4 linked regions of the Mytilus edulis genome follow. Each later gene encodes a partner of the first gene's protein in a complex. Links are inferred from orthologs where the notes say so. Each region holds a gene or a part of one and is shown in the gene's direction. Other genes may lie near its edges. The genes, in order: leucine-rich repeat-containing protein 23-like, ropporin-1-like protein, dnaJ homolog subfamily B member 13-like and nucleoside diphosphate kinase homolog 5-like.

Region 1 (7,856 bases):
AAGTTGAGAAAAGTACTGAGATGGGATTAATACATAAACTAAGATTTTCATCCATCCTCAGACATAAATGATAAATCAATGACAATGTAATACGAATTAAAGAAACAATGCCGAATGATATTTAACGATAAATAACTGATTCACAGTTTTAGATGCGGATGATTATGTGTGACGGACATCCATATATATGTTTTCTAAGGTTTAAATTTAAATACTTATTGAGACTGTGAAATCATTTCATCATGGTTAATTTATAGTTAAAATTTCACAAATTCAACCAAGATGCACTTTTTTAAAAGAAATTTTAATAGAAATACTTCAGTACATTTTTTATGCACATTTGTTCAGATTATGCAACAAATGATTAATTGTCTTATGTCTCTTAATCATTTAGGTTACAAGCACAGAAAGTTACAAAGTTCATGAAAGGCAATCCTAACGATTTTCAATTTTCTTTTTTTTTTAAGTATAATTATATAAATACCACATTAAATACTGAAATTTATGGAATTTGAAAGGAAAGTTTAAGGGCAGGAAATCTTGTTTTAGTGTTTTAAACTTGTACAACTTCCTTAGGAAATCCAATTAACTAACTTCAAATAAAGCTACTCATATTCATAGTCAAATTTTTGTGAAAAACTTTTTGAATAAGGGGAAATAACTCTGCAAAACACTTTCTTTCCAAATTGATAATAGAAACTCAGCACAGTATGAAGAAAAAATTTATGTTGTACCTATTATTTATTTAAGATGCATACTGTGTGCACAAATGTTTCCTTTAATATATATGCTGCACATTTTCAATAATTATAAACAATTACATGTACTTAAAGCAAATATTTTATCTTATTTATGAAACCCCCAAAAAATTGCTTTACTGGAAATTATGCTTTGCAAATAATATTTGGCAAAAAGCATAAGGGACAGCTTTAATAACAAAGCAAGGGAACAGAGCTATTATCCATAACTTAGCACAAGTAAAGGGATGGAAAGGGGCTTTTAAAGTTATAATCAAAGAGACATGAGTTTCATCTTTAAGCAGAGCTACAGAGCTTTTATCTCAAAGCATTTAGACAAAAGAATTTTACCACAAGGCACAAGGAAAGAGATTTTACCACAAATTTAGAAGGGACCAGGCTTTTTCAAGGTGGTTTTGAAAACTTTAAGCTATTATTCTTATAACACATGTAATAATGTTCCAAATATAAAAGAAACAAGCCAAACATCCATGCTGATGAATTTATATTCTGACAAATTTGAGTAAGCATGTTGATTGCTCTTTAATTAGGAGCAAAAAGAACAGCCAAACTGAGTTGAATCTTCTGCTAAAAATTGCTTAAGTATGCTGGAATAGTTAAAAGGTTTATTCAATTCAAGTCAGAGATGATAATTTGCACATTTTTGCAATCTCAACAACATTATTTCAAAGGCAATGACTGTATATATTATAGATAAATACATACAAGAACTTTTATTTGCACATGCTAAAATTTTCTATTATCCTTCCCTTAAAAGTTTTGAAAAGTTATTACGCCTAAATATATTGTTCAAGTTACTACTAGCAACTGAAGATCATTTGACAAACAACTTACACTTTTAAATCATGTTAGTTAAACATTAATAATATTCATATAAAGTTTAAAATCCATTGAATTTTTGTTATTCTTATGAAAAAGTCCCATATTTTCATCCTTGACAATTTTCTATTACTAAAAATGATTATAAATCTACTCTTTTATTATTTTTAAATTCCATTTTGAAAATTCTTTCGTTACAGTAAACTTCTTAAAAATTTAAAAAGTGGTTATTATATTCCAAAGAAATTAAGTTTTATTTTACAGTTGGGATTTAGCCAATTTTCCGATATGGCTTTAATCTTTAAAATTTCATGTCCCAAAACAAAAGCTATCTTGTTACCATAGTTATTTAAACAGTCAACACTAATAATATTTACCTGTATTTCACATAAAAAGAAATAACAAAGTTACTACATATATATATATATTCAGGGTATATTTATATTGTATTCTGTACCTGGGACAATTTTCATGACTAAACATGCTAAACCTGTTCAGTTAAAGTGGTGATTACACATATCCATGGCAACAAAAATTTCTATACAGGACTTTTCTTGTAAATCAATAAAATTTTGAATTAATCTTTAATTGAGTGTAATATTTAACATGATTGACAATTTACCTTTTTATGAAGGTATCTGAATATTTAATCATGTCATGTTTTCAGATAATTCAAGTTTATCACAGCTTGGTGATTAAATATTAATTCTTTTAATTACATCTATTGTATTATCTATTACAAATTATGAGATTTGTCATTTAAAACAATATTATGAATAACAGTTTTCCAAACAGAATTTACAGTTTTAATTCTTGCAGGATTTTACTGTTGAATTATATCAATTATTTTGGTTTCAATTCATCAGCTGATTTTCAAAGCAAAATCATGCAAAACCAAGGTTAATACATAATTTATAAGAGTCTCTGCATCTCTGCAAAAAGTTGATATCTGAGATCAAGATTATATAGCCTCATCTTATGGTCTATATACTTTTAAGTATATATCTATACAGAATTCTTACAGTAGAGGAGGGAGGGGTATTTTTTTCTTTAAATGTGTTGAGTTGATGGGGTGGATAGAGAAATATCTATGGTTGATCAAGGAGCTATCATAAAGGGGTTAGGGGAGAGGGGACCCTCTTGGATCCCATGAAAGAGCCTCTGATTGAAATTATATGTTGTAAGCTTGTATAAATGTGATTAATTCTTAAGGCAAAAGATGATTATATATTTTTATCTACCACTTTTAAGAACACATTATAGCTTGAAAACTGAGATAATAAGTCCATATTTGTATATTTTTGTGTGTAGCTCATAATAAAATTATAAATACTGATGCAAACAAAGCAATTCATATTCATTGCCATGGGTATAAATTTTCATACTTTTTTGGAGAATCAACTTTATAATTGAGGAACAACTTATAATAGCTAATATTACACAAAACATTGGGAGTTTTATATAAATCCTATCTGTAAAGATACATATATGTATGTTTCTCAAAAGATTATTTTTTACAATTATAGATAGATTTTACCACAATTTTATTACTAATTTTAAGAAAAAATAAAATATGTTAGGAGTTAAGAGTTGTCTTTTTGGCAATCAAACCCCATCTTCTTATTTTAATATATAAATGCAGCTTTTAATTTATCAATCTTTCTACATAATGTTTGTGCATAAAATTTATTTCACTAAGTTTATACAACATAGAAGGCTTTCCCTCCCCCTTTATTACTCAAAATCTATCAGGAGTTCTTGAAAAGGGTCATATGTTTTTACTGCCAAATTTTGCAAATGACCTCCACATTTTGGTACGTATGTTGCATTATAAATAATATGCAGCTATCAATTTCTTTGATTAGAAATTAAAAACTTCACATGTTGGACTTTTCATCTTCTTTCAGAGTTGCTACTCAAGTGTATGTAAATGTGAAGACTAAAGACTAAAGGGAGGGATAATTTTTGGGGTAATGACTTTAAATGTCCAACTTCAATCTGAATCTCAGCCTAGATAACTAGTGCTTTTTCTTTTATTCCAGAAAAAAGAGGGGTCATCTGATACTGGCCGCTGGCTAATGATGTGAGGTTAGTCTGACCTGATTGAGATGATACAAACTTTCCCATATTATTTTTACTTTGTCTACCTGGGACAGCCTTTTGAAATTATTGTTTATCTTCTTGACCTGGGGGGGGGGGGGGTTGTCTATGGGAGGGAGAAGAGGGAGAGATGCATTTTTACTGCACAGAGAAAATTTCTAAATATAATAGCAAATTAGTTCAAAAATTCTAAAACATAGTTTGATTTTAGACAAATATTGAACCAAACATTCTGCCTACAACCTTAATTGGGAGGTACTGAAAATGGTAACTTATTTCCAATTTAAACAAATAAGTAAATATTAAGTCTAATGTTAAGAAGATTAGTTGAATTACACACTGAAGTTGTCAAGAAATTATATAATATCTCTGTTATCATGTCATTCAAAAGTGATCAAGAAATCATCTGGAACTTTTATACTAGTCCCAGAAATCATGCAAAACCATATGAAGGGGCAAACAGAGGTGTTTATGTATAATGATAAATAATTAACAAGTTTTCATGAGTAATTAAACATGTAATAAGGTAATATCAATTGTATATAAATTGGTTTAAATCTATCACCTTTACTTTTGCACGAGAAAAGTGATCACGAAAATTCGTCTGCAATTTAATTTCTCAAAAATGTCAAGTTTTTCTTTTTGCTGTTTATCACAAAATGACAAGGTGTGCTTAATTTGATATGATTTAAAAATTTGGCACTTAATCAAAAATAATAAACCGGCTTGGTCAAACCTTGACATTAAATTTTTTGATAAAACCGTTTTGGGTTGAAAAGTACAAAAAAATGTTTCAACTTTAAATTTCAAGAAACACTTGAAAAACAAAAATATAGACTGTGACATTTTAAAATATCTATATAAATTAAAAACTTAGCTACATACCACATAAAGCAAGGTTATTTTAAGCCAGAAACAACTTTTTGGGGAACAAAATTTGCTAGTTACCTCTGTCCCAAATCATGTGTAAAAGTTGAAAAAGTAATCTCGCTATTTGTCACAGTTCGCGAGATTTTTCGTGAAGTCCAGTTTTCTGAAATTCTCAAAATCAGCCTAATTTACTCCGTGTAACTTTGACTTGAAGTGAACAATGACTTGATTTGTAATCTCTCTTCCTAAATTTAAATCGACTGAACGGGATTTTTCAAGTTTAAACATTTTTACTGTACCGTCACCTTGACAACAATCGGCCATTTTTTGTAATCAAAACATTTACAACGTGTTTTTGGTTTGTGCGGCAAAATGTCAGATAACGAAGCTGAGGAAACTTTTGGAGAGGAGGAGGATAATGCAGAGGAAGCAGGAGGAGAAGAGGGAGATGAGGAAGTTCTTGGTGAAGAGGAAGAAAAACTTGGGGAAGAAGAAGAAGTAGAAGAAGAGGAGGTGTTTATGTGGATAATGAAAAAAGGGGGAGGGGATAAAATACTATATCATAATCATATATATCGTAGTATAGGTGCATGTTAAAGACCGATGTTTTAGATTTATTTGATAACAATAAACATATTTGTTGTACATTGTAGGAAACAATGTGCATGGCCTGACAACATCATCTTTATTTTCAATTTCAATGACAATGTTTACATTTTGTAATTTTTGATTTTTTTCATATTTTATTTTTATTTTTATGAAATGATATCCCTGGTTATAATGGGGTATACAAATGATGTTTACTGCAGTTTTTAGTGCATGTATCTTGTCTCATGTGTTTTGGTACTACAACAGTTCTGCCAACATTTCATGAAGCAAATGCGTGAGATTTGGCCAAAATGGAAAAGATCAAAGAGAAAAAATAATAGATTAAAGGAAAATGCTGCCAAAAAAAGCATGAACATGCGTGAGTCTCACGCTAAATGTGTGAGACTTGGCAGCCCTGCTACAAATGCACTGTGATGTCACAATTTCCTTTGGAAAAACATGCATAGTACATGTAGTATGAAAACATATGATCTAACCATATATTTTCTTTATGACGATAAAAAATTTACATATTTTGAGGAAATAGATAATAATCAGACATCTCTGATTAATCACAATAAGGATATTTTGACGAATCATGATATTTTTTAACCAATTTGATGGTAGAGGTAGCCGAAAATGACAGTTTGGTGTTTGATAGTAAAGGACATTTCTATGATTTCTATGTTCTATCATGATTTCTGAAATCAAATACTATCTATCCACCAGATGCTAAAAAATTATAACGAAAATATTTTAGTTACTTCAATGGCGTACACAATATCAGTAATGAAGTCTGAAATACTGTAAAATTATATTCTTTTTAAAGTAAACTACTTCGAGAAAGAGCATTAACCCTTTCAACGCTATACACGGCATATGCCGCGATGACATACGCCGTCCGCCACTGCTATTCGCGGCATATGCCGCGATGACAACGGATTTTTCATTAGGACTCTTAAACCATTCGATTTTCATTCGGGTCCTCTCTAATTTTTCCTTGTATGAATTGAGGATATGCAAGGTCTCATTTGCGCTTGAAATCCCGGCAATTTTTATTGTAAAATCATGCAGTAGAAGGAAAATTGAAGGAAAATAAAAACAAATATTTTGACAAATGCAAATGGCGGAAATCGGAAACGAAGCTGTAAATATGGAAATATTTCAGCATTTCTATGGCGAAACTGACGACGAGGATTAGTTAAAAGGTTTCTTGTTATCTCAATGTGTTTATTACATTCAATTCGTGTGGGAAATATGATTTGATCGATCATTACGAGACGTAGAAAAAAGGGGGGAAAACGGAGGTTGACTGAAATTTTGAGAACGGAGCCACTGATTTGTGCCACGATTACATAATACGTTGTGTATGGTGCAATACGCTACGGAATCGTGCAATTGGTGTCTTCTTTATTATATGGCAGATAAAACAACAAAATAGATGAAGACTAAAAGTAGTTTTTATTCCAAATTCAACACAAATGTAATAAATTACACCTTTTACCTGTTAATTACCTGAAAATGCAGGTAACCTGATAAAAATTTTACTGAAATAACTGCCTTACATTACAGTTCATACTCTCCTGAACATTTTTCATGCAATAACTTTCTCTGTATCTCTTATAATAAAAAAGATACAGCAGTCTGAAAAAGAATATACTGTTCTAATAAATGAACACAAAAAAAATGCAGCAGCAGCAGCCATTTTTCTATTTTTTTGTGTAGCGTTGAAAGGGTTAATACACTTCATATTTTTTAATCATTTGAATGATTTGATATTAATTGTATCGTTTAATTACAGAAAGTACCAGATTTAGCATTAACAGAGGAACATATAGCAGAATGTTTATCATTGCTTTGTAAAACTGGAGATGGACTGGCTCATGCTTATGTTCGACTAGATGTTCATGATAGGTAAATAAATTAATTTATATAACTTTTCATACCCCTGTCACACTAGAATTGTTGGCTATGTTGTAAATTTATGCCTTGTCTGTCCTTTCACTTTTCTCAAAAAAAAACCTATGCAACAGAACATCATACTTTTTCGGAAGCATGTCAGGGATGAGTTGTAACATTTGAACATTTTTCAGATACATTTATGTTGGTCATTTACTACATTGCTTTAATGCAGACTTTTGCAAAACAATGAAATAGAAAATCAACAAAAATTGGTTAGTCTTGAAGGATTTTTTAAATTTAGTTCATTTATATGTACTCAACTAGTACACAATTTTATTTAGGAGTCAGCTGAGGATCATATCTACCGCAGGATTTTCTCTCTTAGTTAAAGACCCATTTGTGGCCTTGGCTTGTCTGCTCTTTGGTTGGTTTGTTGTCTCTTTGACATATTCCTCATTTTTATTCTCAATTTTACCTACAAAAATATAGAATCAACAGTATTCCTAGATGTTACTGTATGAAGTTTTAATATAATTATCATAAGTACCAGGATTATAATTTAGTACGCCAGACGCGCGTTTCGTCTACATAAGACTCATCAGTGACGCTCATATCAAAATAGTTATAAAGCCAAACAATACAAAGTTGAAGAGCATAGGGGATCCAAAATTCCAAAAAGTTGTGCCAAATAAGGTAATCTATCCCTGGGACAAGAAAATCTTTAGTTTTTCGAAAAATTCAAAGTTTTGTATCAGGAAATTTATAAAAATTATCACATAATGTCATTCCTATGTATACATGTAGGTTAAAAATCCAATT
Region 2 (7,581 bases), on another chromosome or scaffold:
CGGTGTGGGCCAAGGCTCTGTGTTGAAGGCCGTATGTTGACCTATAATGGTTTACTTTTACAAATTGTGACTAAGCGTGGTCTCATTGTCACTCAAACCACATCTTATATCTACTGCACTTGTATAGATCTAAGGGTGGATATGATATCATTTGCGCTTGAGTTCTTTCCCTTTGTCTGTATGATGGATTGGTAAATGCTTGTTTGATTAACCAAATTGAAACATGCAGAACAAACAAGTCTGATTAAAAATCCTAATCTAGATGTTGGTGTAAGTGATGAATATAGCAAGGCTTAAAAATGAAACGTTCAGAAAACAATTTTTTTTCTAATCTAGTGATCATGGTGATCAGTACATCAATACGGCAACAAAAGGGAAGTTACTCTTGCTTTAATGGTGTACATGAAAACCCTCGTCTATAGAGCTTAAATTCTTACTGTACTGGTCTTCTCCTGTGTTCTCTGCATCTGTGCTGTAGACATCTAAAAATAAAATAAGAAGAGTATCTATAAGCATTGTTTTTTAGTTTTTGTGAGGGATTATTTCTGTTTCAAGGGTGTCTTGTGCATCTTCTCTAGCCAATGGTTTCAAGCTGGTCCTCTAATCTTCACCTGTGGCTGGTTAAGATACAATTTGTGTATACAGCTTTGCACTAGCTATCGTGCAACCAATAGAAGTCATGCTTAATCAAGACTACATTATTCTTGACCAAATAATCTTCAGTTTGGATTTGAAAAAAATGTTGTATCAGTGTTACAAAATTTCATTTAAGAATTGAATGCTCTTTTTTGTAAATTTATTGGGGTGTAAAAGCGTTGACCGAAGTTCATTTTGTATGAAGCGCGGAAGCGCTTCATACTAAAAATGTGCCCACGGTTAACGCTTTTACAACCCTATAAAGTTACAAAAAAAAGCATTCAATACTTATAATTACATTTTTACCTATAGGATCGTGAAAACACGCCTTTCATCAAGTTTTTATTTCATTTACCTGTGCACTTTATTGTGGGACCTCGTGTCATCATGAATGAAAAGTTTTATTGTGTGATACAACTGCTTAAGAAATAACATGTGATGTACAGTTAGCCAATCAGAATAACGTATTATAGTGAAACATACATTTAATGTAATTATTAAGCAATAACCAGAAATGTATATGGGGCAATATGCGCAATTGTTTCTACATAGGCGGTAATGGTAACGTTTTCTTCTGTTGCTCAGCCCATATCATAAACTTGTATATGTATGATGGCTAAGTGTTTCGAAGCTGAGACATTTTTACATATGTGGTTAAATTTTCGGGGTACGAAGTGTGATTCATTTTTCCGTAAATTAGCAAACCCCGAGTATCCTTTTGCGATGTGGCTCCTCATGGTAAAAAATCCCATTTTTGACACAATAAGTTCTTTAACAATTTAATACTTTGAACACATTTAATGGCTCCATAGTTTTTACACATTTATTCTGTGTTCCCTTACTTTCTAAATTAACACAAATGGTTCAGCTCAGACATTTGTTTATCATTAGAAATGTGTCAAATATCACTACACAGAGATTTTTTGTTTACACGTGACTTTTGAGTTCCTCATTTCAAGGCGCATTAGGGATATTGTCCCATATGCTAACTTTCCAACATTTTCAATGAGTTGAGATTAGAAATTAGAATTAATATTGTCATTACATAGTCATGATAGTGTCTAGCTAGTGTTTCAGGGGTAAAGACTTGTACATGGCACAATTTGTAAGTGGCAGTTGTTTATATAATATGTCACTATTCACATATGATCAACATAAAGGCGTTTTTTAATTGGATACAGTCATATATATGTGATTGTAACCAAAATAAATTGATTGTTATGATTGTCATGGATCAGAACTTCTTCTTAATATAATTATAAATAATCTGACAAAGGCAAAAGGAGAGGAAGCAGATTGTCAGCCTTGGCTTTCAAAGATGTGTCTATGTATTAAGGTATTTTCTTGACCCAAAAAAAGATTGATAAAGTATCTAAAAGGTTATACTGGTTTTTTTTTTTGTAAAAAGAAAAATATTCTAACTCTTAACTTTGAAATGAAAAATATTGTGATGAGATAGACTTTGCCCTTGGCCAGTTTCAAGTTTGTGCTTGATTGATATGAACATCTTTTCATTTCTATATATAAAGATTGCTAGATATCTAAAATTTTGATTGTTGCTCGCTTTATTTTGTTGTGTTTTATGTGTGCATGCTACAGATCAGAAGGATAAGAACAATGGCTCAAAAAAATTTCAGTGTCTCTTCAAAAAATTAAATATTTCATCCGCTATATTATTTAACCATTTGCTTTCAACAAATGAGGCCTAGCTTAGGTGGGTGGATTTTATGATTTACCAGCTGACTGCATCATATGTACTCTTTCTGATGCTTATTGCTATTTGTTCAACAAAATTGGACATCACAAAGGTTCGCATATATATATTTTTGACTTCACAGTAAAAATCACATGATGCCAATATGGAAAAGCGATTGTTCAGTGTTTTACGGGAAACTGATGTCAAAAGTTCAAGAGTTGCATGCAGATTCTCTAGTCAATAAGCAGAGATTTCCAGAGAGTTATAAGGCCATGGAAAAATGATTGATGGTTTCCCCTAACCCGACCGGGTCATTTATTTTTTTGCAGAGACAACTTAAAGTGTTGAAAATATGCAAAAGCCTGCCTACCGGGTCTTTAAAATTTTCCCATGTTTAAAAGGGGAAACCAACAATTAATTTTCCATGGCCTAAAGGTGTATTGTAGGAGTAGGGATCTCCTGTAGTTCGTGATCGCAATACTGGTATACTAGTATTGTGCACAATACTGGTACATGTATACAAATTTTGTACCAGTATTGTATTCCAGTATTGTACTCTTATTGTAGCACTAGTTTTTGAGTATTTGTACCAGTAGATATATCTGCTACAAATTGTACAAAATGTTGTATTGCCCAAATGGTACTAAACCATTGCTTTTTAAACTACCCTTAACATTCAAGTAGACAAACTTGTTATTTTGATTATAATCAGGTTCCCCTATTAAGCAAATTTTTATGTTTAATGGATATTGATATCTTTTATCTTGTTTATTGTGAAAATAAAGACCAACAAATGCATATGATCATATACAATGTCATGTATTAAAATATCTGTAAAAAATATAAATTCTAATGCAATAACGTTTGTAATGTTCATTTTGATTGGATAACGTCACTTTCTTACATGGCATCAATTGACAATTGATGCTATGGGACGTACGCACAAGCGCAGACGGCATATGACAGATTTTAAATACATGTTTTAACGTTATTTTCTGTCAGTTTCATTAGAATGGAGATAACAATATTGTATTTTAAGCTCCGACGGCATCAATTTGGGATTTGATGGTCGCAAATACCCTTTTACTGTCTCCGCTAACGTGTCACCAGTAAACTTAATTTGCGACCATCAAATCCCCAATTGATGCCGTCGGAGCTTAAAATACAATACAGTTATCTCCTATTAAAATGGCATACATTTCCTTTCTCAATTTTATGTAAATCTGAATTTACAGTGTTATCATGGTTATAGTGTAATAGTTTGTTTGAATTTATTTAACATTAACTCAGATAATAATAAGCTTTTATTTTATTTTATCTAAATTGAATTAAATAAAATATAGAAATGTGATAAAATTATTAGCAATTATTTATATAATTAACAATTGTTTGAAAAATATGAGTTAATTACAGTAATATTTTGTTTATTTAGTTATTATTTTAACTGGCCATGGTTGATAATTGATTTCACAATTATCCTCTATAATCTTTTTGAGTTCATTTAATCTCCCTTTGATCTTGCTTAAAAAAAACCACAGAAGAAGAAGCTTAAAATTCAGTTTTCATTATACACCTTAAAGTATAGTCAACAATACAACTACAATACTGGTATATCAGTAATGTACCAGTATTGCTGGTTTTTTTTTAAAGTTACAATACTGGTACAAAATTTATATACCAGTATTGTGGACAATACTGGTATACCAGTATTGCGATCACCAACTACAGGAGATTCGTAGTATATTTTACTTATGTAATCAGACATCATGACGAAGACTGAAGATGTCTTGAAAGACTTATTTAATTTTCTGGTGATGCCTTCCTGAATTCTATGCCAAATTAAAATAAGTTTTCTTATCTTCTGATGCACTGTTTTGTGTGTGTTTTTTTTTTTTATATAGTTTTCATATAGTATGAGTGTCCCCAGAGCTTATGTTTGTATTTTAAATCAAGGATTTGAACTTGGTTAAATCAAAATGAAGTTTTTCTTATTCTAATATTTTCCATCAAACACGGATTCATGACATGAGTGATGGCTGAAACAGTCACACTCAAAGACACAACCTTGGCCTCATCAAAACTATACCTTTGTATGTCGTTGTCTGTTCTTTAGAAAGAAGTTACTTGCACCTAAAGATAATTTCTGAACTCAATAAATAGCGCAGACGACCAGCATCCACCCTCCTTTTTCAATCGACCGTGTAGCAGACGACAAAAATTCGCGGGTTCGCGTGCTTTTAAATGATTGAAGAAGCAAGGCAAATTGTCAATATCTTAAGCGCATTGGAGACACCGATCCTTCAACCGGAAGAAATCTTTCGAGCAATCGTTGCTATCACAACATTTGAATACATCCGGTAAGTTAGTGTGTGTTTATTTCAAGTTCTTCAGGTCTCAAGATCTCAAAAGGTAAAAAGCCCTATACTTACTTATTGTACAAAAAACATTGAATTTGATTGTTGCCATAACGAAAAGCTTTCATTTAGTTCCGAGACAAAATACGACCATTGTTATCTGCAGTCTTCACTTACTTCAAGCATTTCACTTTTTCAGAGAATTTATTTTATTATTTATAGTTTTGACGATTTGCGTACGTAAATCTCATAAGATTGATTAAAGAAACAACACATTTAGTTTACATGATATGGTAACTGATCAATACACCTTATCGCTATTTGTCTGCCATTACTGGATATCACACAGGTTCCCGTAAATTTTTGACAAAAACTAAATATCTGACGCCACAATGGAAAAGTGATTGTTGTATGCTCCAAAAGTTCAAGCGGCCGGGTCAGCCGTGATTAGCGATATGGTGTATAAATTTTCCATGCAAAACACCATTTTGGGACATAAAAAATATCTAAAAGTGCTCTAAGTTGAGTCTAACGCCACTGGCACTGACACTTTACATGTAAATGTAAATGTAGAATATTACCATATTAACCTTTCAGTACTTATACATCTGCATTGTATGAAAATTCATCAACACATGTCTTTGCTAGTTGATGACTATTCCGAGATAAATCTGACGTCCAACGGCTGTTTTGCCAGACAAGCTGGGGCCGTGTAACGTCAGAGCTCGTCCCATATCAAAAAGTGGATATTTGCCCATCCAAAATATATGCGCTGCTTCGTCGCTTCTGGTGCCAACTAACAGCCTTAGATTTTCATGTGACCATGAGAAAAAAGTGATGATTTATACAAATGACAATAATCTAACTCCTTGTACATTTACGATGCAAGTAATCTAAATGTCTGAGAGCTTCAGATTGTTAACGTGGTTGCACTAAATGCTTCATACCAATCTCCTGTAAAGGAGGTGAAAAATAGTGGTTGGCTACTAAATGTTAAACATCGATCTCCTATAAAGGAGGTGAAAAAGTATAGATATTTGCATATTTGAGTCTTGAGGTCGAGAAATCTCTCGTAACTCGACCTCCTTTTGAAAATAAAAGTTAAAGAAAATCACAGGTTGGGGATTTTTTTCCCCAAATGTTATACATGTAATGTCTTATAATACTTCTCCTATTTGGGATAATTTACCGCAAGTAGGACGTATACATTTATTTATTGCAATGCGCAAATTTCATAAAAGGCAACAATGGAATTTTTTCTTGAAATTTTGGTTAGCAACTTAATTTTTACTGGAACTTTTGTCATGTTCAGTTGTTGCGGACAAATAGCAATAAAGTATATTGATAATTTTAATTTTGATATAATGCTTAGGACATTGTTTTTACATTTTATCTCTATTTGAAAATCTGTGCAGCTTGACTTACAATCACATTTTCAAAACTGGTGAGTCCACAGATGCATCAAGATTGAAATATTTTGTATAAACTGAACACAGTTAAACACAAATATCATCATTTTATAGCAAAAGTTTAAAAGTGATCTGAATTTGATTTCATTTCATTGCTCTGTTAGGAAATGGAGACTCAAATATTACTTTATATTGCAATAAAATATTTTCTTCTTGCTGTTGGACTCATCATACCTAAAAATGATGAGTCCCTGGACTCGCCTTCAAAAATCCTTAGCGAGAACCCTGACTTTTCCATTGTGGCGTCAGATATTTTCTATTATCATATGACATCAAAATTTTACGGGAACTGCTGTGATGTCCAGTAATGCAAATAGCAATAAGGTGTACTGTTTCCTCTTAGATGTATATTGGTTATTTTTATTATTGCCTATTGGGTTGCTGTTGCATTGTATCTCCTTATATCCTGCTGGTTATGAAGTCCTTTTAAATTAGAAAAACAAACTTTTAAAAACAGTTGTTGGCATGACACGGGTTATGTTCTTCTCATATATGTTATGATGGTATGATACTAAACCCCCAACGGGAAGGATTGTGCCTGATGTTCATATGATGAAATCATAATCTTTCAGTCAGTTTAATTGAAGTCTGGAGCTGGCATGTCAGTTAACTGCAAGTAGTCTGTTGTTATTTATGTATTATTGTCATTTTGTTTATTTTCTTTGGTTACATCTTCTGACATCAGACTCGGATTTCTCTTGAACTGAATTTTAATGTGCGTATTGTTATGCGTTTACTTTACTACATTGGTTAGAGGTATAGGGGAGGGTTGAGATCTCACAAACATGTTTAACCCCGCCGCATTTTTGCGCCTGTCCCAAGTCAGGAGCCTCTGGCCTTTGTTAGTCTTGTATTATTTTAATTTTAGTTTCTTGTGTACAATTTGGAAATTAGTATGGCGTTCATTATCACTGGACTAGTATATATTTGTTATGGGGCCAGCTGAAGGACGCCTCCGGTGCGGGAATTTCTCCCTACATTGAAGACCTGTTGGTGACCCTCTGCTGTTGTTTTTTATTTGGTCGGGTTGTTGTCTCTTTGACACATTCCCCATTTCCATTCTCAATTTTATTTTTAAAAAATCCTTTTAATTTTTAGGAGAATCCTAATTCCAAAATGCCTACCAATCCAGATGAGCCATACTACTGCTCTCAGCAGATTAACATTCCTCCTCAGCTACCAGACATACTCAAACAGTTTACAAAAGCTGCAATCAGAACACAGCCAAAAGATGTTTTAGCATGGTCTGCTGCGTAAGTACACTTTTAGTTGTCTAATTAAACTATAAATATTGAGATGATTTCATTAGGAATTTAAAATAAAAAATATCTTCTTTTTAATTTAGGGAAACTGAAATTTTAATTTTGGGTTGTGGGAGAGGGGGTAGTACAATTTGTCTAACTAAAGAAACCTATTTAAAAAAGAT
Region 3 (7,039 bases), on another chromosome or scaffold:
ACCTGCAGCAGTCTGCCAGAAAATGATGAGGCAAAAGCATCCACAAAACTTTGTATGGTAAGGTTCAATTATGGTTGTTAAATAAAATGAAGAAAATATTCCAACCAAATAATATATATTTCCTATAAAAGATTGAAACCAAATATCTTTTAATTCCATTAATTATTAATACATTTATTTTTTTTATAAAATGAATGGTACTTTTGTTCCCGTAACATTCAACCGAATCTTGAGATAATTTGGAATGATTATTATTTTCTTCTATCTGACTATGCTAACCATTTCCTGAGCCACAGCATCTTCATCTAGTACAGCTACAAAGTTAACAGATTCTGGACTGTTATTGTAAAGTAATGCACACTGTGTTCTGTCACATCCATAATAGGTACTACCAAACTGTACACAATCTACTGGTGCCCCAGTATCTACAGATAAAACTTCTAGAGCTCTGTCAACTAATCTTCCCTTTATTGTCAATTGTTTAGGTTCTCTTCCTTCTAGTTTAACTCTGGAAAAATGTATTAAAATATAAAAAAAATGTCAGTTTATTTAGAAAAAAAAGCATTTATAATTGCAAATCACTAATAGACATAAAAAAGAGTTTAATAATTGAGATCTAAAACCATGCTGTAACAGATTATACTCATAGATATTTATAAGAAAATTAGAGGGTCTATCAGATCAATCATTGGCATGTCAATTTTTGTCATATTCTGTCGTAAATCAAAAACATTTCAATATTATAACACTTACTGTTACATTGTACATATGTACACCACTTGTCTGTTTTATCTTTTTTGTTTTGGTGTGGGTTTTTTTTTTGTGATATTTTTTTTTTCTCAATTAGAATATTTTAGATATGGAGCATTTGTATTGAAATGAGGCAGCAACCTAATAATATTATACAAACATCCCTTTTCCCATACAGAAATAATTCCATTTATGACTTAAAAGATACTTACCTCACATGCTCTTCTAAGTTTCCAGGTTCTTTTGTTACATATTCAATCTGCAAAGCAAGAATAAGAAAGGATTCGAAAATATTGCTGACACACAAAACAATATTCAAATCATATCAAAGCATTAATGTATGGTATTTTTTCTATTTATCAAAAATATATTGTAGCTAAGAATTTAAGATATATTTTTATTAAAGTAGCCATTACACAACATTTGAACAATACATTAATGTATGTTACTTCTATTTGGAATTTTGCTGCCCTAGGTAATTATGGTAATTTTTAGAAAGTCACAAAGTACATCATCTGGAAATTTTTTTACTCTTGAAAGATACTTAAACCAGCAAAATTGAAACAAATCGTTGTATTTGACAGGTATGCTCCATATTGCATGGTTTGTAGTACATGTATTTTTATTCTTGATTCACATATTTACCTTTATCAACTGTACACTTTTAGGAGGTACATTGCCACTGGTGGGAACAATGGCTAAAGGTTTGTCTCCAGAATACTTCAGTTTAAATTCTCCAGCCTTAGATCCATGATTTGTTAATGCTATTTCTTTTGATATTGTTTTACTGCTAGCTACAAGACTTCCAAAGTCAACAACTTCTTCAATTTCTAGCATAGGCTGCATAGGATATCTATTATTAAATAAATAATCCAATATAGGTCAGGGCAATTAACAATTTTAAACTTAAATTACTGTGGATAATTCCTTTAAAATCAATTGATAATCTGATTTGATAGGAAAAAATGTGATTATTACTGTTAAGTGTGTTAATACATGTAGTCTCTGAACTTGATGCAAGTTCTTCGGTCTTTGTTTGAAGATTCCCCAGTTATTGTAAAGAGTAAATTAATGCTAATAATCCCCCTCCCCCCCCAAAAAAATAACCATTATATCTTTGGAAATTGTGTCTCTGTATTATGATAGACTGAATATCCTTTTTAGTACAAATTTAAATTATTATTTGTGTACAATGTAAAATAAATCCTAACATTAAAATATGAAACTAAGAACTTACGCTATTAATGGTATTTCAGCCACATCTCCATCAATAGTTACAACCAGTCTATCACGAATCTCTTTTGCTTCACTGGTTTCAAATTCAATAATAGCTGGGACACATAAGCCTGATGCCACTGGCTTTGTAGGGTTTTTTACTTTTAGATTGAAGAACTAAAAAAGTAAATATTTCTTGATAAAAAGAACAATTCAATTAATTTTTAACCTTCTATTTAATAGTTTAATATTAGAGAGTAGCAAAAAAAGTATTATAAGTAACATTATAATAGATGCTTCACGAATTTATCAATTTAAGGATCAAACAATGTAATAATGATTTAAATGAAGTTATGAAAACATCAAATTGATGTTTTCATAAAATGTATGTTTTTACTTATCATAACATAATATGAATAAATAAAGTCAGTCATGTCTGCACTTTCAACAAACAGTACAATAAAATATTATATTGTACCTATAAAATTCACTAAGCTTAAAATATTACTGACACAACTGGTGTTAAGTCACATGTGCCCCTCTTGCTTTATGCAGTTTTATATCTTGAATAATTTTAAATACATGTTTTTTTTCTGCATTTGAGTTTTGGAGGATTGTAAATAGACCTTACCCCTATTTGCATTCTGAAACACCTGACTTACGATTATATGAACTGTTGACATTGTGCAAAAAAAATCCCCCCCCCCCCCCCAAAAAAAATAAGAGAATTATGATTTTGACATCTATAGGAAATGTCTGGAACATGGAAAAATATACCCTTTCACAGTTGAACTAGTATATATTTGTTTAGGGGTCAGCTGAAGGATGCCTCCGGGTGCGGGAATTTCTCGGTGCATTAAAGACCTGTTGGTGACCTTCTGCTGTTGTCTGCTCTATTGTCGGGTTGTCTCTTTGGCACATTCCCCATTTCCATTCTCAATTTTATGTTGAATAGGGGGGATATTTTCATAATGGCCATTATGGAGATGCAATACTATGAAAAAAAATATGGGGAAACATCAAGGAAACAGAACAGTTGATTGAAAACTAGCATAGGATTTCCTCTTTCTCATACTTTCTTTTACAGTTACATCATGTACATGTAACATCTATTTCGAAAAAAATATGCCCCTCATACACAATCGCTATTTGTCCGTCATTACTGGATATCACACAGGTTCCCGTAAAAATTTGACGTCATAAAACAAAATATCTGAAGCCACAATGCAAAAGTGATTGTTGTATGCGTCAAAAGATCAAGCGGCTGGGTCAGCCGGGATTAGTGATAAGGTGTATTCGACATGTTCTTAGAATGCAATATATATGTCAAAACCATGAAGTGGCTTTATCATAAGTAGTCTTCATGGTGTCAAAATTGGATCTTAATTTCAGCTGAAATTTAAGGATAATACCTATTGAGTTTCTAAAAGTAAGAATCAATTTTCAAAATCAGGGAAAGATGATGCTTCATTTTTTTGGGGAATTCAGGATAAATTTTTCTAGAACTTAGAAGCTCTGACTTGCTAAAACTGGCTTGGCAATAACCAATGACGAAGACTTGGTTCAGGGTTTATATATTATAGTTTATAAATTAGCTGTTGAATATACTTATGTAAACAGACGACTTAAATCCTACTCACTTTAGATTTTGGTCCATAAAATCGTATGCTTTTACTTGATTTGCTTATGTTTTTCACAGTGATGTTCAGCTCATGAACTGTGTTGACATCTGTGTCAAAGAATTCCAATTGCGGTGGTGAAATTCGGACACCGAACGTGTCACCTTCCATGATGCTTTCGTTCAAAAATGTCGATTATCTTTTTAAAAACTTCAAACTATTACCGCCATATTGTTTGGGAAGGTTGCTCGGGGATTTTTCAAGCAAACAAAATAAAACCGCATTTTCGTAATTGAGTAAAATCTTTAAATTTGTTTTGTTCTATTAAAATTAAAACAATTATGTTTCTTTATGAAGCTATTATATTTTATCTGATGTATCGAATAATCAATTAAAACAAAATCTGACATTAATTCAGTACGAAAATACCGTCAAATAAACTAGCTATACATCGCATAGCAACCACGCCATCTTTAGTAAACGACCCGATCTTACAGTCGTTTCAAAACAAAAATAAACGATGGGAGTCGATTACTACAATATTTTGCAATTAACAAGAAGTGCAACAGATGCAGACATTAAGAAACAGTAAGGAATTGATGTTTTAAATTACAGGATCAAACATAATGTTCCAAATTCATAAGAACTCACTGATTTGTTATTTCACTTTCAATCAGTTTATGTTTGTTTTTTTTTAATTAGAGAATAGGTATCTACAACTATCCACTGAACATCCATTTTTAGTCTGTTCAGTCTTCCATTTGCCAAGTAAGTCTTATTATAGACATCAGCTGTGCCGGCATGCAATGATTATTTGCCTGGATATGGTACCTTCCATGTCCATGGCCCATTGGAATCAGTCATCTATTCTGGTATCATGCCTTTCACTGAAAAAGATATAAGGCCTGCCCGTATCCCTGGTCTTACAAAAGTTTTCGAGCATTTTCGTCATTCTGTATTGTAGGGTGATATAGAATTAATTTATGTTCTATAAGTTCATAATCTTGATTCCCATACAACTGAGGGATGGAAGTCACATGACAGATTCATCTGAAAAACGTATTCCTGAACTGGTTCAGGCCAGATGAAAAAAGTACAAATGAGTACCCCTTTTCTGGGGGTCTCATTGGGGGGTTCTGATCCCGGATCCCGCTTACTGTTTTGTCAGATTCCCGTATCCCGCTTATACTATGTACCTAAGCAATTCTCATTTTTTTGTAATTGCCCGTGTCCCACTAGACCTTAATTCCCGTTTTCACGGCACAATAATTTGACTTTCCCGTTTCACGCTTACAAAAAATCAGCAATCCCGCGTCATGCTTAGACCCACCTTTCTATATTTATTTTTCTTTATTATTTCCTATTCTAACATGACGTCCTTCAAATGCTTTGAGTACACACCTGTGGTTAAATATGAATTTATTGCCAGGGCTGTTCCGATTGTACTCCCATGTCATATGTTTTTTTATGAATGAGATACCAAACGTCATAGAAAGATGACGTATGAATATGTGCATTTTACGGAAAAATACATGCTTTCCAAAACAAAAATCATCACAACAAGGAAACGTAAACAAACAATGCTAAATGTGGTATAAGCCGATTTTTTTAAAACATCATTATGATAAGTAAATTATAATTTAAATTCACCCAAAGCTATCTAGATACGTTATTGTAAAAACTTTAAGCATGTCACTAATTGAGTTTGCTTCGTTCTTTTACGCCAATTTAATAGTGTGTTTATTTATGGGAAAGGCAAATATTTGTCTCCACCTAGAGCGCTTCGATCCAAAACAATAGCCGTATTTGTCTTATCGCTCAGGGTAAAATATTTGTCATTAAGGGCCAACCCGTGGTAATATCACGAAATATTCCATCCCCCATGAATTATTTCTTAATTATACTATACTTACTGTATATAATTTTGGTTGTATCTTATAAAATTACTCGTGTTGTGTGCACCTGCTCAGATTTAAAGTGTCTTTTTTTGCTTCAAATTTATTTTTGTACAAAAATTGTATCCTTTATATATTTAACTTTACTTATATTTTTATTTTTTACAGCTACAGAAAATTAGCTTTGAAATTTCATCCTGACAGAAATGATGGTGATCAAAATGCTCAAGACAAATTCAAACAATGTGCTGAGGCTTATGACATTTTAAGTGATCGTAAGTAGTAAAGTAAAGAAAAACTTATGTACATGTATTTGCATTTGATAAGGCCTCGACAATAAATCACCACAAAGCGTCAACTTAACAAAACTGCTATAAAGTGAGAGTTTTATTGAAATTTTCAGAAGTATATATATATAAGCTGTGGAACCAATTTCATGTTGTTTTTCGTGATATTTTTTTCATACTGATATAAAGAGTTGAATTGTAAATGTTTCTTTTTTTTTCAATCAACCTTTGACAGAATCCATCCGATAACAAGTTTAAACAAATTTTAGGTTAATGTTTTGCTGATTGGTAATAGTGAAATAGGGGAATTTTTTCTGTAGGGTGGTTGATGTTACCTCCGTGTTAGATAAGTTATCTTCTGACAGATATTTTACATTTTTTTAGTTTTCCTTAAATATTTTTAGAGTTGAAACATAAACCATTTTATCGTAATGTATGATCTTTGAGAGGAAGTGAGTTCTTTGTCCAGAAGACATTATGGAGAGGTGAATTTCAATTATAGTTTCAGTCATCAACACCCTTAAAGATGAACAAGTGTATATATTATAAGTTGACTAAAAGATGATCTTAAGCAGAGTTTTTCTGTGTTATATGATGCATGAAGTTTTTTAATACATGTAGTTTAATACATTAATCTTTCAAAATCCTATTTTTTCAGCAAGAAAGCGGGCAGTGTATGATCAGTTTGGAGAAGAAGGCCTAAAGAATGGTGTTCCTCATGGTAGTGGGGAGGCAGGTGCTTGGACCCAAGGTTACACATTCCATGGAAATTCAGAAAAAGTTTTCAGAGAATTCTTTGGTGGTGATAATCCATTTCAAGGTAGGATATAAAATAAAGGCATACAAAGATATAAAATAAAGGCATACAAAGATATAAAATAAAGGCATACACAGATATAAAATAAAGGCATACAAAGAAGGATAATACGATATCAGAGAAATTACCAAAATCTTTCCTTCTTCAAAGGCCTCTCGATCAGGTCCATTTGATTTGTGTCCAAAACAGAAAATTAAACAAACTTACTTATTGAAAATTGCCAATGTATCATTAACCATCCTGATAGACCATAACATGTCATAACAGACCATTAACCTGGTTAATAATATTAATATTAAATACCGATTTTTTTTATTACTTTTTGCAGAATTTTATGACAGAGTTGATGGAGATTTAAGCATGGGATTTGGTGGTTTACAAGGCAGAGGACATAAGAAACAAGATTCACCAATAGAAAGAGAACTTTTCTTGTCATTGGAAGAAGTATTTCATGGT
Region 4 (7,786 bases), on another chromosome or scaffold:
GGGAATATAAAAAAAATTTTAAAAATCTGTTTTGCAAAAAATGGGTGCGGGTGGGTCCGTCGAACAAGGAATCAAATTGGTGTGGCCTAAAGAATCATTCTTCCAATAAGAACATTAGCGTTAGCATTCCACTTCCAACTGGACAACATGCTAAATGAACTAACAAGAAAAACACCCCATTTTTCACTAAAATAAATTTGGAATTGATTTAAAAAAAAAGTCTAACCTACATCCTGGATATTTCGTTATACATAAATTTATATCTGATTAGGGTAACAAAACCTTATTTATCTTTAATGATAGGATTAAAAATTCCTACCTTCATGAAGCAGATCTCCAAGTAAATCATCAAGACCATCAGAACCTTTCTTTCCTTCTGAAATAACATAGATATATATATATATATATATATTATATAGATTATATGTGATAAGAAGGGCTATAAAAGTACATTTAAGTGTAGCTAAAAAATGTTTTATTTAGAATGTTAAACCTTTGTAGTCAATAAATTTTAAAAGACAAATTTAGAAATGATTTCAAAAATGAATAGAACACAAGCATCAAATCTTTTTATTACCATGGTAAAACATACATATTAGCATGTTTATCAATCCATTGCTGATTAGAAATTTAATGTTATTAATACATCATTGAATAATGGAGACAAATAAGTTCTTACCTACCATTAGACAGTTACATAGACTTTATACTCTGAATTTCAAAAAAATGTATTTGTTAGACACTTTTATAGATGTGAAGCATACCGGTACATCGACACCATTTGTGTATTGTAATGTAAATTTTGTTCTTTATATGAGTAATTTTAAATGATAAGCCAAAACAAAATAACTAAATTTATACATACTTTGCTGTTTCTTGCCACCAGGTGTCCAAGCCTAAAATAAAAACATGCATATGGTAGACTTTCACTTATAAAGATCAGATAAAAGGATTTACTATAGCTAAAAGACAACATTTATGTGTGACAGACTTTGGGTTAAATACAAAATAAATATGCAATGAGATTGAAATTACATTAACATTAACTAACAAATTTCAACAACAAATAATAGAACAAATACCCTTTTCAGCCTAAACTTCATTTCATTAATCAGTAGAAATTGTGAATCACATATGCATTGAACAAATTATTTTGCAAATTTGAAAGATTATTTCTATGTTAAAAAAGTAACATTTAATCATTTATTATCATTATCAATCCACTGTAGACTGTTAGAAATTACTTTATTGGTTGTTGGTTTTTTTGCGTGTTTAACATCACTTTCTGCACTGTTGCACTTTTTGATGACATTCAATTTATAATGTGGAGAAAGTTAGTGAGCCCAGAGAGAACCACCAATTTTCAGTAGGAAAACTGACAATCCTTGTCGATTTTAAGATTAAATCCAAGCACCCTATGCCACATGCTGGATTTAAACTTTATGACACATGGGGGATTTAACCTTAAAACAGGCAAGTACGGCAGCAGTTGTAACTATATAGACACGCCTTGTTGATTTATAAGTCGGTCAGAGCCTCCAAGTTGTTGCTACTCTTGCCTGAGTTGTTTGGTACAAGTCAATCAATCCCCAAACTGATGAGACCCAAACTTGATCTGACTAAAAGTAGATCCGTCCCACTTCAATCTGAACCCATGTCAATCCTTCCCCATAATAAGATAATGAATAATCTATGTTAACTTTATAGAATTTGGTGACATATTGGAATCAGGATAAATGGAATTTGTAAAAAGTTTTAAGTATCAATGACAGCAGGTGAGTGATGTATGCCCAATTTGAATAACTATTTAAAATAGATAAGAAAACAAGTGTAATAGATACTATTTATAATGCAAGGAAAATAAGTGTAATAGATACTGTTTATAATGCAGTATCAGCTTATTAATATGAAGTTATTTTCCATGATAACTTTGAATATCCGCAGGAATTTTATTCTATGAAATCATTATAATGCAGCATTCACACAGTATTGATTATGTCTCCTGTTTGAGATAAGACAACGATCAGACAAGAAAAGATACAAAGTAAGATTACTTTCCTTGATCAATCATTGTCAGAATGCAGTGTACTTTTGTTACTGGTTCCTGCTGATCCAGTAAGGTGACGGTCAGGAGAGATCAGGTATGATCAGGAGTGGTCGGCCAAGCACATTGACAGTTATGTGTGTCACATATGATTCCCGGAGATTCAGCCAATTTTGTCAAGAAGGATTACAATTATGACTATGCCATGACAGATAATCTGCAGTTTCGGATCAAAAAATTGAAAAATCAATGATTTGCATTGCTGCTTTTTCCGTTTGAATTTAGATTGCAACCTCATCTTGCCAAATGTGAACAATCTTTTCTGAAATATTTTTTTATTCGGGCCGGATTAACTTTAAATATGGTGACAGAATGTCGTGGACCGGCAGCCTGGGATGGATCGTCATGATCATGATGAAAGCGAGTTGCTCCATAATTGTAGCAGTGGATTAGATGTTATGGGTACACGACAACTCGTACTTTCGGCAAGTCGTACTCAACCAACTCGTACCCTATTTTTGCCAACTCGTAACCATGTTTTATTTGATATTATTTATCAAGTTTATATGCATAGTTATTGTAACTTTCTTTCGTATATCATTATATAGCAAAATACAAATAAAAAAACAACTTTCATTGTTAATAAAATTCAATCATAATTGTTTTAAATAAGCTTATAAAATGCTAATCGTTATAATCATTAGTATTCCTTATAATTGATTGTTTGAAATTGTTTGCACGACAATTTATTTGATATGCACATTAAAATAATTATGAGTACACAATATGCTAATCAGTGGTCATTAGTGGATAACATACCTACAAAAATAGAATGGATTTGTTAAAAGTAGAATAAACAGAGAGAAGTAAATGAAAACAAAAAATCGGTATAAGTGCGGCACTATGATCATCAAAGGCCGTTGAGTTATACTTAAACAATCACCATCCTCACCGAAAAGAAAATGCATGGCTTAAACGTTGTAAAAACCAAGCTTAGAGAAAAAATATATAAACTATGGTGAAATGTATGATCATCTTCAATTGCAATCATGGTTCGTCCACATTGTAATGTATGCAAGACGATATATAAATTGTGTATCTCAATAATATTTTCCCCTAATCCTGTTATTTGGTCCATGTTTGGGGCCAATAAGAGTATATATTTCAAAAAGCTGTATTTGTAGGACCCTTATTACTATTATTAATAGCAACAAAGCCTTGTAAAAATGTCTTACAATGTGTGTGTAAATAATAGTGATACTAGTGGGTTTTTTTAATACGCCTCTCGTAATTCTTCTAAATATTGGCTTAATTTTTATTTTAACTTTTATCATAATTGAGGTCAATACGTATATAAATGATAGTAGTATTGTGATGAAATATACATTTTAAAATATAGTGCAAACGTACATGCAGAAAGATTAGATCAGGTGTGAAGTTGTTTTGATAACGGTTAAATAATTAATGGCACGTTTCGTGTGTGAATAAGGGCCGATTAACTGGTAATCGACATACTTCAGGTGTGAAGCAATGATCAATCAATTAATCACCGGCACGCGAACTGCAATAAATAATTTGTGTATTAAGGTTTATGTTTAAAGGCTGTGGATTTTCTATAAAAATCTTGATTTATTTGCCACAAAGTCCTTTTTTTTTTTGAAGATCTCGTCTGATTGCTTATGAGACAACTCTTCACTAGAGACCAAAATGACACAGAAATGAACAACTATAGGTAATCGTACAGCCTTCAGCCATGAGCAAAACCCACCCATACCTCATAGTCAGCTATAATGACCAGTAAAACAATTCAAACGGAAAACGAACTGACTGCCATGCTTATTTAAAAAAAAAAAAAAAAAAAAAGTGTTAACACATCAACAAACAACGTGTTTATCGCAATATTCAGTAAAAATCTCTTCAAATATTCTAAGGATCGAGCACACCTTGACACTTGAGGATTTTTTTTCAGATACAAATCCTATCAGTAGATAAATCAGTAGGTGAATAATAAAATATGAAGCATTATAATGTTAAAAATATTTTCTACTAACACGAAAAAACTAAGACATGTTCAACGCAATGTTCAGTAAAAAATATCCTTTTCATATTCTATGGATCTACCTCAGGGTGCACTGGGATACTTCAGGGAGTTAAAATATCCATATCTACTGATATAAACGTAGAAAACTTATATTATAATGCTAAAAAAATATTGGGTACGACTTAGAAGAAGTACGAGTTGGTAGAAGTACGAGTTGCCGAAAGTACGAGTTGGCTGAGTACGAGTTGCCGAAAGTACGAGTTGACATGTATCCGATGTTATCATGTATTAAACTCTGATACCAACTATTTAGCATTAGCAACACAAAATGCATATCACAATCGGGAATACATGAGCAATAAATGAGAAATTCTTATTATACTGTTTGGACATGTCATGTGTGTGCATGCAACACTTTTTGTTCTTTTGCTTTGAAGTTGAAATTTCTGAGTTTTAATGCAAAATTTACATTAGCCATGATGTATTTCAATATTCCAATCAACAGAAATGTATCTATAGATGTGCAGCTTTAAACATTTCGTTTATATCTTTCAAACAAAATCATTTTCTTGTAGACATTATCTGCTTCCTTTAGTTTACGTTTATTGTAACATTGGGGAATACGGCTGTTGGTTATTTTAAACGAGGAACCAGTCAGTTCTTTGAAATCTCGTACGGTGCACCGTACGTGAAAATGCGAGATCATAATATATTTCTTAGCAACAGGACGCCATAATATTTTACAAGGGACAAAATGACAGGAGAGAACGAAACAGTTACAATGGATCCACCACATGTTTATGTGGAACGGACATTAGCAATTATCAAACCAGATGCAGTTAATAAAGCAGAAGAAATTGAAGATATTATTTTGAGATCTGGATTTTCGATTTTACAGGTAATTTAAGAAATAAGAAAACATGCTTTCCTATTCCTCATCAATCATCTTGTATACAGCAAAAGCACATCGAATTTTGATTACCAAGTCATTACTTAGTCTCATGTTTCTGTATATGAGGAAGGCGCCATCTTAAATGCAAGCTTACCAAGTCGTTATGTACCTACGGCCTATACATATTTTTTGCCGTAAGTAGAAAGTTTACATAGGATTAAACGCTTTTTCAAAGGAATTTATTGGTATATAAACTCTACCAGTGACTTGGTCCAGTTTATACACCAATAAATTCCTTTAAAAAGGCGTTTAATCCTTATAATTCTTTAAAATTGGAGCTAAGGAATATATTTTTCAACACTCGTAACCTCTATCACACGTAAATTGTATATTTTTTGTCATTGAATAGGCATGGCGCATGAATATATTTGTTGGTTAATGCAAAAATATGTACTCATTTAAATTTGCTATCTGATAAAAAATAAACCACAAAGACTCGAGTTATCATTCAAACAAATGTTTTTGTGTTTATTATTTATTTTAATGAGTACGTGCAGTGAAAATAAATTTTGTTCAAGTCGATGTTATTATTGCCGCCATCTTGTTTACATTGGTTACAAAAAGAAGTTCGGCCAACGTTGCCTATCGAAAAATAAACAACATCAAGATCAACTACCGGAAGTCATCTCCACCAATCATATCAACGTATTCACTAATATGCAAATCATATAATGTAAGAATTATGATGAAATATTTGGAGTCTGTATCCACCTTATTGATATTAAAAGTTCTGTCCCGCTTGTCCCTTGAATCTGCTTCTCTTGAACTTTTGACGTCATACAACAATTACTTTCCATTGTGGCGTCAGAAATTTTCTATTATGACATAAAAAAAATTACAAGAACTTTTATGGCATACAGTAATGGTAGACAAATAGCGATAAGGTGTATTTTTATCTGCTGAAAATAATTTTATTAACGATTAATGAGTCCAAATCATCATGATGTCTTGAAAGGCTATTAAACCTTTTGCTTTGACACACTAGCTATAGAGACTGTAAGGTGTCAAAGCAAAAAAATATAGCCTCTCAAGACATCATAATTATTGTGACAATTGATTCATCTTATTTACAATGCTTACATTCATTATCTTGTGCCATTTTCATATCCATTTTTGCTTCTTTTCAAATATTACAAAATTTAAAACAATAAGACGTTTGTTTAATTTCAAAACAACAATGTACAAATACATGTACAATTCATAACTTTATCAAATTGTTGATTTCCATGAAGAGGTGGAGGATTTTTTTCATCAATAATAGGACAATATTTAAATTTGTATTGAAACCAATGCTTTCTGTTTGTTAAATAATTATTTTATGTTAATGTCTAATTTAGCTGGGTGTTCATATTGTATTCCCATTTTCCTTTAAGGGTTCTTACTAAGGATTTTATTACAGGAGTCCACTGGGAAATCATAATGTTTTGCAATGGCTTGTCAAGCAGTGGGAGGAAGCAATTTTATTGATAAACAATATAATTTCAGTCCCCATGACAAAATGGAGCAAGGAAATTACACAAAATATAAATTATTTTTGAACTTATGTTTTAAAATGATGATACATTTGCTCATTTATAATTTTGTTTCAAATTATAATCCTGAACATGTTACATTGATTATATAATAATATATGTGCTAATTTAATTGCAGAAGAGAAGGGTCCATTTAACACCTGAACAAGCTAGTGATTTTTATGCTGAACATTTTGGAAAATTTGCATTTACAAGTCTGGTAGCTTACATGAGCAGTGGTCCAATGATAGCACTAGTTCTAGCGCGTGATCAGGCTATATCATATTGGAAAGAATTAATAGGACCGACAAATTCTGTAAAAGCAAAACAGACACACCCTGACTGGTATGCATATTAAAATGTTTAAAGAAAATCACAATTGTCATTCTCATATGAAGTTGACATAGTCGAGCTATCTCTCTTTTATTTGTAGTTTGGTCATGGAAACTGTTTTTTATGTGTGAAATGAAATTCAATGGTTTAAAAATAGCAACAAAAGAATATTCTACAAATGTAGTACATATATTGAAGTCATGAAGTGATACATGTTTAACAAATCATATTATGTTAATAAATACTATATCAAATATTGAAAGTTATGTAAGAAATCTGATCTGTTAAAAGGCTTTTAGTCCAATATAAAACCAAATGCTAATACTTGATTTACACCACCTTTGAATTTTAGTTTGAGAGCTATATATGGAGCAGATGATCAGAAAAATGCATTACATGGCAGTGACACTTTTTCAGCGGCAGAGAGGGAAATAAGATTCTTTTTTGCAGACAGTAAGTTGCATGAATACTGTATATCACTTTTTTTAGACACAAGATTATCAACTTCTCTATTTAAGTACAAAATGTAGTCAACATATAGACTAGGGGAAATTATATTTCTGGCCTCAGTTTGATAGTTATAATCATTTACCTACCTTCAATATATGTACAAATGTGCTATATTTACTTAATTTAGAGGGCAACATGACATCTAAAAACCATTTGCTTTGTCCTGAAATAATCAGTTCCCTGAATGTTATTCAAGTCATTTCCAATTAAGTTAATGTTTCAGGTTAAAAAACATGTACATGTTGTACAGGACTGAGGAATGATGATGTCTTTCATAAGATGTAATTAAAATAACATGCAAACTATCTTTCCCATTTTACCATATACACAAAGCCTTTGACAAACTAAGATATATTTTAAATAAGAATACCTTATACATGTATACCTTTATTGTG

The links.
Region 2: leucine-rich repeat-containing protein 23-like (region 1) and ropporin-1-like protein share a complex: the UniProt entries of both Homo sapiens proteins name them as parts of the axonemal radial spoke complex. The link is inferred for Mytilus edulis from reciprocal best matches to the Homo sapiens genes LRRC23 and ROPN1L.
Region 3: leucine-rich repeat-containing protein 23-like (region 1) and dnaJ homolog subfamily B member 13-like share a complex: the UniProt entries of both Homo sapiens proteins name them as parts of the axonemal radial spoke complex. The link is inferred for Mytilus edulis from reciprocal best matches to the Homo sapiens genes LRRC23 and DNAJB13.
Region 4: leucine-rich repeat-containing protein 23-like (region 1) and nucleoside diphosphate kinase homolog 5-like share a complex: the UniProt entries of both Homo sapiens proteins name them as parts of the axonemal radial spoke complex. The link is inferred for Mytilus edulis from reciprocal best matches to the Homo sapiens genes LRRC23 and NME5.

The regions. Positions count from the first base shown.
Region 1 is NC_092356.1:18,674,128-18,681,983, reverse strand, and holds the start of leucine-rich repeat-containing protein 23-like, read left to right. Parts: upstream 1-4,840; 5' UTR 4,841-4,919; coding exon 4,920-5,060; intron 5,061-6,936; coding exon 6,937-7,049; intron 7,050-7,856. UniProt on the Homo sapiens protein: Essential for sperm motility and male fertility. Plays an important role in the proper assembly of the third radial spoke (RS3) head and the bridge structure between RS2 and RS3 in the sperm flagella.
Region 2 is NC_092350.1:52,033,154-52,040,734, reverse strand, and holds the start of ropporin-1-like protein, read left to right. Parts: upstream 1-4,562; 5' UTR 4,563-4,689; exon of another isoform or gene 4,690-4,741; intron 4,742-7,253; 5' UTR 7,254-7,271; coding exon 7,272-7,408; intron 7,409-7,581. Other genes in the region: HORMA domain-containing protein 1-like, read right to left, coding at 438-482. UniProt on the Homo sapiens protein: Functions as part of axonemal radial spoke complexes that play an important part in the motility of sperm and cilia. Important for male fertility.
Region 3 is NC_092353.1:43,375,974-43,383,012, forward strand, and holds the start of dnaJ homolog subfamily B member 13-like, read left to right. Parts: upstream 1-4,019; 5' UTR 4,020-4,104; coding exon 4,105-4,172; intron 4,173-5,647; coding exon 5,648-5,754; intron 5,755-6,424; coding exon 6,425-6,586; intron 6,587-6,911; coding exon 6,912-7,039. Other genes in the region: cilia- and flagella-associated protein 47-like, read right to left, coding at 280-508, 963-1,009, 1,396-1,603, 1,988-2,142, 3,606-3,755. UniProt on the Homo sapiens protein: Functions as part of axonemal radial spoke complexes that play an important part in the motility of sperm and cilia.
Region 4 is NC_092352.1:35,868,189-35,875,974, forward strand, and holds the start of nucleoside diphosphate kinase homolog 5-like, read left to right. Parts: upstream 1-4,783; 5' UTR 4,784-4,839; coding exon 4,840-4,983; intron 4,984-6,687; coding exon 6,688-6,893; intron 6,894-7,233; coding exon 7,234-7,334; intron 7,335-7,786. Other genes in the region: fas-binding factor 1 homolog, read right to left, coding at 320-376, 866-896, 4,555-4,563. UniProt on the Homo sapiens protein: Functions as part of axonemal radial spoke complexes that play an important part in the motility of sperm and cilia. Does not seem to have nucleoside diphosphate kinase (NDPK) activity.